4 linked regions of the Drosophila melanogaster genome follow. The protein of the gene in region 2 interacts with the protein of the main gene of each other region in a pairwise test. Each region holds a gene or a part of one and is shown on either strand. Other genes may lie near its edges.

Region 1 (3,222 bases), about 11 Mb from region 2:
CGCTTTGCTCCGCCGAATGATCGTTGGATTTGGGATGGTGCGGATAGTGACAAGGGCAGCCGGCACTCCCACACACACGGGGATTATCTGGAAGCGGAGACCAATCTGCATGACTACTGGAACTTCGAGGAACAACGCAATTGTCCCCAGCCCGTGGAACCAGAGTTCTTCGACCGACGGTTCGCCTTGGGACACCACTTTCTGTATCATGTGGAGCACGAAGAACGGGATACATTACTGCGACCCGTGCCAAAGGATAAGCCCATAGTATTTCCCGGGGACCTACGCTTCCAGCGGCAGGGAGAGGAGGCAATTGACTCCAACATAGATCAAGGTCCGCCCCTGGCGCCGTTTACCACAACATTAGCTACACCAATTGAAACAATTCCTGCTTCTTTATCCACAACAACCGCATCGATGCCACCTTTCGCACAGGAGAACACCCAAGGATGTGGGATAAATGTAGAGAGCCGACTGCTGGGAGGAGATCAGGCTAGTGCCGGACAGTTTCCCTGGCTGACAAGGATCGCTTATCGCAACCGAAGTAAGTACATCTTATGTTAGGCTAAATACGCAATTTCGAATTTATTTTACCCAACGCAACGCCTCTTAAATGCTCTTAAACTTACTCCGCATTGGAGATCTGAGCCGGGCCCAATGCCGTCCTGTCTGCGCTCATCCAATTTCACTGGCCACAATAACCATTTTTAATGTAAGGTAGACGCCGACGGCAAAGAGCAGAGCAGCCAGTCCCAGAGCCTTGGGTCCGCGATTGTTTGGTGGGGCACTCAGCCCAAAAGGTCCTCCTCCGCCTCCACCACCGCCATTGGGAGCATTTCTGCCTCCGGGACCACCACTACCTCCAGGGCCATTTCTTCCTCCAGGGCCACCACCTTTTCCTCCAGGGCCACCTCTTCCTCCAGGGCCTCCCTTACCGCATTTATTGCACTGCTGTCCGCCGCAAGGTTTGGGGCCACACGTTCCACGCTTTTGGGGCGGGCCCCCTCCACGACCACCTGGGCCGCCTCCACCGGCACCAGGGGCACCTCCACCAGCACCTGGACCGCCCCGTGAGCCAGGAGCTGGGCAAGAATCAGGGTTGTTGCTCTGAGGTGGTAGACTTCTTCCTGAACAAGGGCAAGCGCACATGTTGAGCTGAAAACAAGAAAAAATCTTTATTCTTACAGAAGTTTTACGATAATATTTTCAGGCAGCAGCCGCATTAGCTTTCGCTGCTCCGGATCCCTGATATCCAGCAACCACATCGTAACTGCCGCCCACTGTGTGGTCAACCTAGTCAGCGATTTGGAACTGTAAGTCTAAAGCCTAATTAAATCTTTTGTAATCCACGCTCTTTCGTAGGTCCCATGTTCGATTGGGAAGTCAGGATGGGGCGACTCCGTTTGCCATCGAGCAGGTTATAGTTCATCCGAACTACGACCAGCCCAAGTATGCAAATGACATTGCCCTCCTACGAATCAACAGCACTAATGGTAAGAGATTATACTCCTATCCTAGGTCAATGATTACGCTGAATAACCACCACCAACCTTGCAGGCACTTTCACACCCATATGCTTACCCTTCAACGGGCCAATCACACTGGGAAACAGGCTGATAGGACAAATTGGAGTGGCTGCTGGTTGGAGTATTGGGAGTACTGAAAGTTAGTCTCGAAACAACTTTATATCTGATCTGTTACATTTTTTAACTTACTATCAATGCGATCGAAATATAATTCAGTGCATATTAGGTTTTAAATGTATATAACATTCTCTACTACAAATTTTATCCAGATAATAGTTCGATGGACCCCTCAAACTCCACCGCTGGGGTGCGCTTCATCCGTTTGCCCATCGTGAACACCACCAGTTGCGCCATCGCCTATGCCAGTCTCAGTGAGAACTTCCAGCAGCCTATTGTGATTACTCCCAACCACCTGTGCGCCCAGGGAATGCCCATGAATGACGTGTGCCGAGGCGATAGTGGCGGCCCCTTTATGGACGACGGTACCTCCGGCGTCTTTGGAACAAGTGGACGTTATACGATCATCGGCATCGTGGCCTTTGGACCGACGCTGTGCGGCGTGACCACCATTCCGGGGGTCTACACCCTGGTGAGTAGCTTCTCCGATTGGATACTGCGAAGCATCGCCGAAGGATCTGACCAGTGAGCGGTCGTGTTGGGAACCCATCCCTAGCAAATTACATCCAAAGCTTCCAATGCCAAAGTCTTCAGAATACATCGACGTAAAGAACAATGATTCATACATTCTACGGATAAATACAAAAATTCGGTTCCACTTCAAATCACCTAAATTTCAATAAAATGTACGTGTATAACAATCGTATTCATCAAATTTGTATTTTTCTACTGTATATGGCGGATGTCAATGCTCTCATTTTATTTTCAGAAAAACAATGTTCTTTTTTTACACGAATACAGTACAAGAATCAGAGGTTAACATATTATTTTTTCATTAATTGCTTCTGACTACTGGTCTTAATTAATAATGTTAATAGACGGCGAAGAAGGTATAATTATCTTATAAGAGTTCTTAACTTATCGCTTAAAGAATTATAATTGTTTTAACGCCTCATTTTAAATTAGTTACTTCCTCAAACAATTTGGAAGCGAGAATAAAATATGTGATTTAGCTTCAGGATGATTATATCTATAAATACATAATTAGGTATTTAATGTTCCTATTTCGCGATCCAATATCTTGCGTGTAAAATATTTTTTAGTTTTATTTACAATTTTACAAATTCTTTTGAAAGATACAAATATAGCTTGCTTGCAGTAAACAATTTTTTTTTTCCAAGTTTTATTTCTAGTAGGACATAAATAATGGCAATAAAGAATAACTGGTTTTGTCCACAAATTGATGTTCTTAAACACCCCTTCATTCGGTGAAGTAAAACAATTGCTTTTGCAAATAATTTGTTAAATTGCATTAGTTGTAATCCTTTATTCCTAGAATAGCATCATTTACTTTTGGGTACTTTACTTAACGTATAATAAAGCTGCAATAAAAACAGGAAGTAGAACATTGAAACAAAGGTATTTGAGTTGATAAATACGATATAACTTTTAAATGTAATCACCGCATTGTAATTTATTTGCTTAAGATCTGGTTTTTGTATTATAAATTAAAGTTTCATAAATAAGTTTTATAAATTGAAACCCAATTGCCCTACACAGCGATATCCGCACGATCATA
Region 2 (4,991 bases):
TCCGCCAGGCGCTGAAACACAGATTTTGGTCAAGTAAATGGAGTTCCAAATTCCGACTGGTCCGAATGTCCACTTACCGGCACTTTTATGGTCGCGTTCTCATCGATGGTGTTCAGAGGTTTCTTTGAGCGTTTTTTAAATTGTTTATACATAGTACTGGAAAGCTTTATAAGCTTCAATCTTCAATCTTAAATCACAAAATAATAAAAACAAAACAATTTAATGGCGCGTATGCAGGTGCAGTGTGACCGAGCATTGACATCAGTTTTTATCGATAGCCGCGGTGGTCGAGGTTCGTGAATTCGCTAAGCGCAATAACGAATATCGTAACAATTCTTATACAAATTTTACGATTTTCAAATGATTATAAAAATTAACTAATAATTCAACTCTTATAGAAATACTTATTTTTTTTTAACATTACTAATTAAAATCTAACAAAATAAATGAAGAAACGACCTTTAGAGCACTGTGTGTAGAAGTCTAAATAAAAATCCACTTTCGTCAATTCAAATTTTTATTGAAACATAATCTACATAATTCGTACAAAACTATTATTGTATTTTCTTTTTTTTAGGTTTACATAACATTCAATCATACGTAATGACTATAAAATGTTCCTTAATTTTATGATCGATACGGAAGCATGATCCATAAATTGATAATCGTATATGTAAATAAGATGATTATGAGCTTATTTGTTAATTTAAAGCCTTTCGATTTTAATTATTTAACTCGGGTGCTAGATGTCTCTGATAATTAGATAAATATTTCCTAGTATCGATTTTCAACTCTTAAAAGTGCAAAAACTCTATTGTGCCATACATTTTTAAATGTATATAAATACGCTTTATAAAAAGGAAGTACAACATATGTATGTCTTGAAGTGATTATGCCAGAAATTGACTTATTCCGGGGCCATTTAGACCCTTCACTACCTAGTTCATAGAAAATCACTAATTTGGCGTTGTTTTCAGTATTGCTATTGAGTATATATAATGATGAACATGATGCCGATTCTATCACACCAATGCAGTCCAAAGCGAAATTTGCGATTCTTTCACAATACTGTGCTAACGGAAACTCAACTCAGTGTCTTCCGGTTATTGCTTTTCATATTTCTAGATAGTAATAAACTATTGTTTTTTCGCTCGTCGTCTCTTGAAGCCCGTCATTTGCTTGAGCAGCTGTGAGTTTTCGTCATCCAGATCCATATTTGGCTCCCAGAGCCGCAGTCGTTTGGGTATATAGATGAGGCCCAGTAGAGTTATAGCTAAAAAGGCGAAAGATTCAATTTACTAAATGGTTCGGGGTGTTACAAAAAAGATATAATTTGTTATTACTGAATTTTAGTTGTGTTTACTTACAATTTAGCACACACGGGAAGATCACGTAGAAGTTAATGGTGCTGGAGCGAAAGTAGAGTGCCTCGGTGGCATAGAAGACCATGGTGAGGGCCAATGAGCAGCCGCCCATGCTGACCACCCTAAACGTAGGGAAATATCCCCATTAGTGACGATAATCTAACCAGAGGATATATGGGATTCACTTACGGCTTGTAGTGAATGTAGAGGGTGCAGTGGACGAGAGCGATGGCCTTCAGCAGGCAGTACATCCCGATGATCCGCGATATGGTGTAGTCCCCTGTGAAAGAACCCATCAAATGCGACTCCAGCAGCTCAATCCATCCCCACTTACCCTCTATGAACTGGGTGTCGCTGTGATCGCCCAGGAAGCTGCGTCTTTCTATGTAGCTCCTAAAGGCCGTGCCCAGGTCCATGAAGGCCACGAATGCTATCCATCCCCGGAAGGCGTACAGCAATCGCTCGCGGGGTCGTCCGCCAGACTGCATGGCAGCCCTACAAGTAAATTTTCTGTGTTATTTAATATCCATTCTCCCTTTAAAGGAAAATAATTTAATCTAAGGAATGGGTTTACCAATTGGTCTAATGTCCAACACAACTTGAAGACTTTATTACACATATCAGGGTTATATATTTAGAAAATTATTTGAAATTTTGACAAAATGGTCATTATACTGCAGAAAACTTGTAATAGAATGTACAATGTAACAATTCGTCGTAAGGTTTTTTTATGCCTACTCGTATTCGTGTAACGAATGTTTTAAGATATAAGAAAAACTCATTAAGAACCTTAGCCAGAAAATATACAAATTTAGCTCAGGTCATAGTATCATTATGCTTAAAGCAGACCGACCCAGTCTAGATTATGATGATATAATAAGAGAACCAACTATGTACATATTTCGGTATTACAAAGCCATTAGAATAAACGCGATACTATTGCGTGTGCATAATGAGGTGCTTTTGTTTAAAGGCTTTTAGCACAAGCATGAACTCCAAGCGAGCAGCCGAGTCCAATGGCATCGGTGGCAACCGGCTTATCTTCCCCTGAGAATCGCATCGCACTCGGAAGTCCCAGCACATGCCACCACCCACCCCACTCCACTTCACTCCGCAGGTCTGGGCAAAATCGATATTATGGCACACTATGCTGCTGTGCTATTTGCGCAATGCAAATATGCGGAGCGTAATTCCCGGCTGCACGCGACCACGTGGAGCGCTTATGGTGGATCCACCATTAGTCCCGGTTGTTTATTTCCAAGCAACATCGCCGACTGGGTCGTCCGAGCAACGCGATTTATGGGCCCCGGACCAACCGGCTAGCCACTATCAGGCGGTTCACAATAAATGCACCACTGGCTATGTGTGTATTTGATTTCGGGAGCACTCCTCAATTCACTCACATTTTGCAAAGATTCCCGTGTTAATCAGCAGTACCGCGATCCGTCCCACCCGGCGTATGCGTAATATTTGTTTGCAGCACTGCCACTGGCACTCTTGTGTCCCTCAAAAACCTATTTTATGCAGCAGCGATTGTTTATTTCATATATGTGTATTTTCGCCGTTCAGCTGTAAACGCGACCGATTCTCGTACCGCCGCCTGCAACGCCTTGCCAGCCACTAAAAGTCTAGAATGGGAAAGTTTCGTGCGAGGACAGGCAGCTTTTATGCTTTCGGAGCTTTGGTTCTTGTTGATTGGTTCGTATCGCACCGGGAATACCTGGAAAAAGTGGTCTAAGTCCTCAATTAATATAGTATGATTATGATTAAAAAAAATATATTCACAAGTTGGCCATTACTGACTTAAAAAAAAAGTGTGGCTTGCATTTTTAGCATCATTTTATTTAGCAAAGTACAAAAGTTGTAAACTGTGTTCAATCGGAATTGCTATATGTATAGGCAACATGTATAAAAGATCAACAATTTGTCAAGTTCTATGGCTCTCTTGGGATGAAACTGGTCTAGTCTGGTCTAGTCCTTGCCAATGTTGGCCTCAGTCTTGCGGTACTCGGCCCAGTCGACAAATCCATCGTTGTTCAGGTCCATGGACTTCAGCACATAGTCAATGGTGTCCTCCAGAGCCTTGTCCGTGTACACAGATCCGGATTTGTGATCATCGGGCTGCTGCGCTTGGCCCTCGGCGTGGCCTTCCTGGTGTGCCTCGGCTGGTTTTTCTCCACTATCCTTGACTAGAAAGGTAATGTACACTTTAAGGCTCCGCTGGGCATGGTTAACTTGTTAGCTAAGCTCACCCGAAACCGGAAAATGTGTTCTAGTGTCTACAATTCTACTTGATAGAGGGATTACATGTGGTGGTCGCGTGTGATTTGAAGTTGACTTTATTCGCTAATTCGGCTTTACTTACAGAGATTTGCATGCGTCTATATAGTAGGTTTCAGTTTAAAAAGACGGGGTTTTCTTCGCTTATTTTTTTGCATAGTTTCATTTTCTTTTTGTACAAAACAAACGTTTACACAATCAGTCTGTTTTTTTTGCTGCTCTAAAGTCGCGCTTAAAAATTAGTTCATATCGAAAAGTAACTAAAATTATGACAATCGAAAACAAAACGAAACAAGGCGGCTGGAATTGCACAACCCACTCGAGAGATTCGTGAGAAATAATATTCGAAAATGCGAATCTTTTGAAAAAAGAGTTCTCAGAAGGACGTTTAGTTACAATTTGTTCAATGAAGTTCTCCGATTGGAATGCTTGCAGCATGTTAAGTAAATTTCATTCAAATTTATCTAAGAAGTGCGCTAAAATCGTCGACGAGGTCAACGTAATTTCAGGGTGTTTTGGGCAGAAACAGGAGTATGTGTTGCACGTCACAGAGCGCGGGACGAGGACATGGTTTTATGTATGTAAACTGAACGCATCTGGGTGACTACTAATGAACCGGCTGCTGCTGCTGCTGCTGTTGCTGTTCGTGCGGCTGCTGTTGTTGCTGCTGCTGCTGCTGCTGCTTCTCGGCGGCCTTTTGCTGCGCCTTAATGAACTCCGGATAGTCGATGTAGCCGTCGCGTGAGGTGTCGTCCATCTGCAGGATGGGATCAATGAGGGCCACCAGCTCCTCGTCGGAGAAAACCTTCTCCTCCACATGCGGCTTCTCACCGTTCGGCTGCTCCTTGCTGCCTTGCTCTGCATGGCAATGATTTGTTATGGCGGATGCGAGATGGATTAGCATGAGATTCGAGCATGACCACAACCATAACCGGAAACAGCCCAGTTTTATTACGCATATGCAAAGAAGTAGAACAGAATAGTGGGTCAAACAAAACGAAATACAGAAACCACAAACGCAACTCTAACCAGCGAGCCAGATTAAAAAGCAGTAGCTATCTTACCGTGCCAATGGATCAGCGATTTGATCAGCTCGCAGCCGTCCAACTTGTTGTTGTTGTCCGAGTCGTGCATCTTGAAGTAGTGGAACTGCAGCTCAGCCTCGGACATCTTGCTCGTATCGATTGGCACTTGCATGTGCTCCTGGATGTGACTGAAATTGAAAGAGTAAGGTTTGGTATTAGATCCAACTGATCGTTGATTTGGTTGAAGAAATAGATCAGCCCAGAAATATTATGTAAGTACTATGTCTAATTTACTTTTAACATGGAACTTTTGATATATAAT
Region 3 (3,118 bases), on a different chromosome or scaffold from region 2:
TTTCTAAAACTCCCAGACAGGATAGGACAGGACACAACACTACTTCGTCCAAGGAAAACAAACGACAGATGGGCAAAACTTGTATGTAACTTGGATCTGCCATTTCTTGCTTGATTTTACTTTTTGTCTGTTTGGCTGCGTTGAAGCTGATTGATGATTACAGATGTCGAGAGAAAGAATATAAAAAGTATTTATACGTCTTAGCAATTAAATAACGATTCTGAATTATAAAAATTAATTACTATTACCTATATATATAAACGAAGGGATAAATATATTTATAGTTTGTGCTCTTACTGTCATGCTCTATCCCATTTCAACACCTTTTTTTGTTCTGCCAAACTTTTACACACAAACGATGAAAACAAAAATACAAAACCACGTAAAACATAATAGTTGTAATTATTGCCGCGTGAATGAAGAAGCGTGCACACTAACAGTGCATTATAAATGAAATGAAAACTATGTATTTGCAAAACAGTACATACATTAAACAAAAGTATATAAACCATTCGTTTTTTTGGACTAATTGGGGTTCCCAACATTTTTATATTTTAAAGTTACAAATGGAAAATTAAGTTTCTTTAACTATTTTTATCCCTGCTTCAGAAAGTTATATGGCAAATGAAAAATGTGTATAAAAGAAGCTAATCTTAAGCAAATCCCATTCCTACTATTCCATTTTGTCCTGCTTTTCGGACTCGACTGTTCCTCCGTCGCAAAGAAACCAAAGACCAGCCAGAATGAGAGTTATTCCGATGCCAGATAGTACTGTCAGTGGCTCCCGATAAACAAGCGCACCTAGGACAAACTATATAACGAACAGTAATCATAATTGAACAAATAGATCGGTGGATCACCTACCGATAAGACATAATTCGAAGCGGCAGTTAAAACGACGCACGTTAAAGTTTGTTCAGTCATTTGCAGGGCCTTCAAAAAGAAACGCAAGTTGCAAACGTTGCATGTTACCATTAACACTAGTGGCAGCAGCTGAAGTAATGCTATTTCTAATAAATAAAATAAAATTTTATAAATTTATAAACATTTTGCTTGTTTGAAGAAATCACAATCTTGCCTAAATAAGAAAAGTCTTCATTTATTTGCGAAGTATTCAGTAGTTTTTGGGCGCTCAGGTGGCTGGGAAGTTTTCCGAAAAAGCTTCCTGCAGCTGCGAAGGAGCCAGCCACCAAACTGTATCGATATTTTGCGAGTGATTCCATTAGGTTAGATCTTTAAACTTATAAGTTTAAACCAATAAAAATGTAAACAAAAGTCGAACGAGGCAACAGCTGATGCGCAAAGCTGCCAACTTACTTCCATATGACAAGCTTGCGGTTCATTAAAATCCCGCCAGGTGGAGCACCTTGGCGCGAGATTTAAAAGAGTAGATATTTACTTCAACTTCATTCTTCATAAGAAATATAAGCACAGGAATATAAAAAACTAACTGGCGCAAAATCAAATCAAATTTGTGTGTAATTTTTTCGTATTTCATTTGTTTATTTTACAAAACGTTCAGCTAATGCCTTGACATTCATCGAAAAAGTCTCATTTGCTAATTGCGCGTTGTTTTTGCATCTTTTGGAATTGTGTAGGTTTATATACAAAGACCGCTGCTACATAAATAATACATATATTCTTGTACCTCTCAACAAAACTCAACTTACATAACGCAGAGCAAAGTAGTTGCATTAAAAAATAAATCTCTATGCCGCCTGGCATTATTAACATTCCTTCAATTCAAACATTTAGACACTTATATGTGGAAATTGCTTGAGTGCTATGCATTTCGTCTCATTGCTTTGCTTTACTTTGCTGTCACGGTTTAACTACAATTTTGCTATCGTACTATATATTTAGTTAAATATTTACTTGTTGCATAATACTTCGCCTGTTTCGGTTGTAACACTCACACACGGAAACACAGATATTCCTAATGCACTCCAAGCAAATCTATTAAGTTAGGTTCTTACTTAGCATTGCTATATAAATATTTTTTGATGTTTTTTCATTTTGATTTAGTTAGTTGTTATATATCGCCTAAGGTAAACTGCTCACAATTATTTTATACGTAATTCTTTTAATATTCTTTAAAATGTATACATATGGTTGTATATTTGTATAAATTTGTTTCGTATAATTGGTTGTGTGTGTCTTTAGTGTGTTGTTGTGTCTGCTAGGAAAATGCAACGACTTTCAGCCGTTATCTAGGAGCTCACAGAATCGAACCCCGTTCTCAAAACCAACATGCATTTGTGTAATCAACATTCAACAATTCACTCACTGAATACGGCTAATCTAATAAAAAGACACTTTTTTCTTGCCATTTAACAAATGGCCTATCCCTCTGACAATTCTGGCTGCTCTAATACCCTGTGACTCTAGTAGTTCGCTAAGTTTCTACATCAGGACGCAACACCTGCGACTGGAACTGGTGCTATCGGTGACCACGTCGCCAGTGATGCCGCTGAACTTGTTCAGCGAACTGCCCGCCGGCGAGGAGCCCTCGAAGTCGGATAGCACGCTTCCCGCGCCCATGTGACCCAATGTTGGCTGCGTCGAGATCGGTGCGGATCCGTTGTTGTTGTTGTTGCTGGTGCTCAGGTTGTTGTTGTTGTTGCTGCTGCTGCCGCCGGCTCCTAAAACAGAACCATTAGTTGTTGTGGCATTAGCTGCTGCAATTGGATGGGCATTGCTAGCTGTTTGGGATGACAATTCGAAAGTATTGAGGACATTGGCGGTGCGTGAAAGCGAGCGTTGCTTCTTCAAATTGGCCAATGTGGCGCTGTAGCCATCCAAGGCAACATGCTGCTGCTGCTGCTGCTGTTGCTGTTGCTGCTGATGTTGCTGAAGCTGCTGGTGTTGCTGCAACAGCAGTACGTGTTGCTGGTGGTGGTGTTGCTGCTGCTGCTGCTGCTGCTGTTGATGTTGCTGATGGTGGTGCGTGCTATTGGTGTCTGGATGTTGGAAGTTTTTGGCAAGGCGTTGGGTGTGTTTGGTGTTTAGTGGTGCGGTGGTTGTTGTTTTTATTGTTGATGATGATGCGGGCAGGCAGACGACACAGAACGGGCGAAACGAGGCACAACAACGACAACAAAAAAGAATGAAACGGAAA
Region 4 (3,467 bases), 1.7 Mb from region 2:
TTACAATATCGCAACCAGCATCCTTTGTTATTTCGCACAGCGTATTGTAGCGTACGTGGTCCTGCTCCACGGAGTAGATGCATCCCTTGTTCTGCATCACATTGCATATGTGCACTGTCTTCATACCGGGAGCTGCGCACATATCCAGCACAGTGGCCCCAGACGGCGGAGCAAGTAGTTCGGCGGCCAAACAGGTGGCCTTGTTCTGCAGTATAAACCTCTTGCTGTGCACCAACGGATGGCGGACCCAGTAGTTGGACCACTTGGCAGGAAAAATGAGCACACCCTCAACGTGCAGATCGGTCATGAACTCGTTCTCCGCCAGCGATTTGATGGCAGTCAGAAAATCCGCATAGCTGGCGTCCGCAGGCAGCTCCTTGCGCCGCCAGTCGCTTTTATGCAGGTAGTCCAAGGCCTCCGCCAAGCTGTATAGATTTGTGTTGATGCGCACATATCGAGGATTGGGTTCTGTGTGGGCAAACAAAAAGACGAGTTCAAAATTGTAGCCAAAGTAAGATTTATTAAGAGTTGTTAAGAGTCGTTACTGGTCCTTTAAACGATCGAAATAATCTGGACTTGGCTGGCAGCACTTAAGTTACTGTTCTTTCTTTGGCTCCGCAGCTTCCGGCTCGTCGTCCTCATCCTGCTGCACGGGTTCCAAGGGTGGTGGGGGCTTCTCGCGGAAAGCCTTTAATACATACATGGCCACCACGAGGTTAACAACCACAACAGCCGTGAGAACTGACCAACAGTTGACCGTGAAAAGGTCCAAATGGGGGAAGGACTCCTGCAGCCAGCTGCGGACGCCATAGAAGCCCAAGAAGGGCAGCGTGAACATGAGCACACTGTAGGCCAACAGCCAGAGGAAGACCTCCGCACTGGTGTCCTCCTGCTGCGTATGATGCTCCACGGGAGAATCAATGACAGCCGGGGAATCATCAGTGGTAGCTGGCACCACATCGACATGCTGTTGTTTCCTGTTCTTCTTGCCCATCTCAGCCGGCTAATACTGGTAATCGGTGTGATAACCTGCCTTTTCGCTGGACACCGAAATCTCTGATGGAATTTAGCAGTCGATCCTTGTAACTTCGCACCGTTTGCACGGGTTTGCTTTCGCCGTTCAGCTCCTTCCTGCCAAACAGCAGTTCGGTGACTAGAATCTTGGCCAAACTGGGATCAAAACTGGGATTGTCCCTGAGCAGTCCTGTCTCTTCGATGGCCTTTTCCAGTGCCACACGATTTTCGCTAAATTTTTTCAGAACCGTATGCAAAGAGCGTGTACGCTACAAGTGAAGTGCGAGAGGGAAAAGTTATACGCATATTGGTTTGATCTGCGGACGAGAGGTCCAATCCACTTACGGCATGCTTCTCTGCAAATATTAGGGTCTTGATGCACTTCTGCTGCTCCAGTGCCGCCTTCAAAATCTTGGCAGTCGCCCTGTATTGGGTGGGAACTTTTATGGAATGCGGTTTTTTACTCATTGTCGTCACGTGCACGTGTATGTGTTGTTTGCGCTAGAATAGGTGCAACCCCAATCACGACTTTATCGATATATGCTTATCGAATGTCAGGGCTGGAGATAAGCATGTGGCGTTTGAAACAAATCATATTGTTATTCATGTTTTGAAAATATCTACAATTAATGTAAAGGTTGTTCTAATTTTGCCAACGATAACTACAAAACATATATGTTCTATCCAATATATTTACATACAGGGTATCAAATTTACAAATAAATTGGCAGTGTGGCCATACGTTGCGAGCAAAAATTACTGTACTTCAAGCATTGCCAACACAAGAATATTTTCATGGTTAAAAATTTTGGCGCGATAAAGCCGCAGTTTAAAATGTCAAAGTGTGCGCGTTCTTGGAGGTTTACCAAAATTTAGAATCATGCTTTTATTTATCGTGCATAAGTTGGTAAATTGGAATTAAATCAAGTTTTTTCCAATTTGTTTCTGGTGTGTCGTTTGTTTTGGGGTCTGTACGGCTGCTTTAATTAAAAAATATTAAAATGAAGCACGCTATTCTTTAAGGACTTTAAGGAAACGTACCTTTCTATGTTTGCCCAGGAGTTGATAGACGATATCAAGGCTGAGGATCGCATCCTACAATGTCCTTGGTGCGAAGAACAGACGTTGAGTCCATCAGCCAGCACCCGGAAACTTTTGTATTGGCTTTTAACGCTTTCAATTCGACTTTCAGAAAAGAGTCTCCTCGAAAATCACGACTGATATCCATGTAAATGAATCGGTAGATACTTGCACTTTCTTTTTAGTTATTAAAACTGACACACTGTCACTTTGCAGGTTTTAACCGCTGGCGGAAATGAAGAAGGAATCCGGGAATATTCATTTCAGTCCATTGTGGTGCACAGCGGAACTCCCCTCAGGAACAATCTTAGCCCACTAAACATCAATAAACTACTAAAATAACTTTGACTGCTGCTTAATTTCAAATATACATAAATTAATATTTTTTATTTTTAAGTTAAATTTTTTAATTCTTTTGGAGGCTCAAATTTTATATTTGGCGCAGCACTTTAATGTAGAAAATGTGAATAAAGAAATATTTCAAGGGTAAACAACAAAAAATGTTTTGATTTTGTAAAAAAAAAAACCTTAAAAATTATGAGGAGTTATAAAATAATTATCAGTTTCCGGAACTTTAAAATTCTTATCTTCAATTTGATCTTCAAGACATATTTTTCTTATAATAATATTATCAATAATATTATATAATATGTAACGGATATTTAAGTTCTTCATTTTCTTTTTCAGAAGTATTAACAAATGCATATATATAAATACATATATATTTATACAATAGAATCGCATAGGCATGAATTCAGCGCGCAAAATAATATAATTACAATAACATTGATATTATATAATAGATTATAATAATATACATATGTAAGTGTAAGTTATAAAATGGTAACAAAGTTCAACAGCTCATAGGCGAAGATCCAGTGGCACGGAATTTTCAATACAGCCAGGAGAACATCCTAATATTTTGGATAAACTCTTTGTGCCACTGTTCCGGGTGATGTGCATCATGTCCAGCACGGAGGACCTTATGTACCACTATTGCTGTTTCCTAGATTAGGATTCGCTAAAAGCTTAAATTGTAATTTCAGATTCCCAAAAATAGAAAATACCGCCAAAAGTCAGGGCAATGGCACTGCAGAAAGGATGCAGGATATTATATGTTCTTTTTGTTTTTCTCTCCCCAGAATTTGGCCCAATTAAATTTGGTATTCGAAAAAAAGAGCACGCCTCCTCCCCGAAACCGAAAAAAAACTCTGTGGCGCCGGGAACAAAAAAGAGCGCGAGAGAGTGAGAGCGCACACATAAAAAACATAAACAAGCCTTTTTCACTAGTGTGCGTTTGTGCGGAGAGAGAAGAGAGCGAAAAACAACTTCTGAAAAAAGACGCTCTTCGCTGTGATTTTTTTTCAGTCAGT

Evidence for each region.
Region 1: the proteins of CG17270 (region 2) and CG31415 interact in a two-hybrid assay, tested with the Drosophila melanogaster proteins (one large-scale study listed by BioGRID).
Region 3: the proteins of CG17270 (region 2) and CG42495 interact in a two-hybrid assay, tested with the Drosophila melanogaster proteins (one large-scale study listed by BioGRID).
Region 4: the proteins of CG17270 (region 2) and CG42359 interact in a two-hybrid assay, tested with the Drosophila melanogaster proteins (one large-scale study listed by BioGRID).

Annotation. Positions count from the first base shown.
Region 1 is NT_033777.3:9,742,003-9,745,224, reverse strand, and holds CG31415 (uncharacterized protein), read right to left. Parts: upstream 1,709-3,222; 5' UTR 1,666-1,708; coding exon of another isoform or gene 1,558-1,665; intron 1,494-1,557; coding exon of another isoform or gene 1,363-1,493; intron 1,314-1,362; coding exon of another isoform or gene 1,211-1,313; intron 1,156-1,210; 5' UTR 1,150-1,155; coding exon 676-1,149; 3' UTR 563-675; downstream 1-562. Other genes in the region: CG34409 (uncharacterized protein), read left to right, coding at 1-544, 1,211-1,313, 1,363-1,493, 1,558-1,665, 1,796-2,172; Pnn (pinin), read right to left, coding at 3,006-3,025.
Region 2 is NT_033777.3:20,815,942-20,820,932, forward strand, and holds CG17270 (uncharacterized protein), read right to left. Parts: upstream 2,989-4,991; 5' UTR 2,770-2,988; coding exon 2,768-2,769; intron 1,860-2,767; coding exon 1,699-1,859; intron 1,645-1,698; coding exon 1,554-1,644; intron 1,487-1,553; coding exon 1,368-1,486; intron 1,274-1,367; coding exon 1,137-1,273; 3' UTR 504-1,136; downstream 1-503. Other genes in the region: Fancd2, read right to left, coding at 1-11, 78-152; CG17271 (uncharacterized protein), read right to left, coding at 4,252-4,502, 4,709-4,857.
Region 3 is NT_037436.4:18,665,540-18,668,657, reverse strand, and holds CG42495 (uncharacterized protein), read right to left. Parts: upstream 1,298-3,118; 5' UTR 1,224-1,297; coding exon 1,079-1,223; intron 1,011-1,078; coding exon 865-1,010; intron 812-864; coding exon 674-811; 3' UTR 523-673; downstream 1-522. Other genes in the region: MYPT-75D (myosin phosphatase targeting subunit 75D), read right to left, coding at 2,404-2,960.
Region 4 is NT_033777.3:19,160,757-19,164,223, forward strand, and holds CG42359 (uncharacterized protein), read right to left. Parts: upstream 1,545-3,467; 5' UTR 1,483-1,544; coding exon of another isoform or gene 1,360-1,482; intron 1,284-1,359; coding exon of another isoform or gene 1,034-1,283; 5' UTR 995-1,033; coding exon 596-994; 3' UTR 503-595; downstream 1-502. Other genes in the region: Nsun5 (Nop2/Sun-like domain containing protein 5), read right to left, coding at 1-468, 1,034-1,283, 1,360-1,482.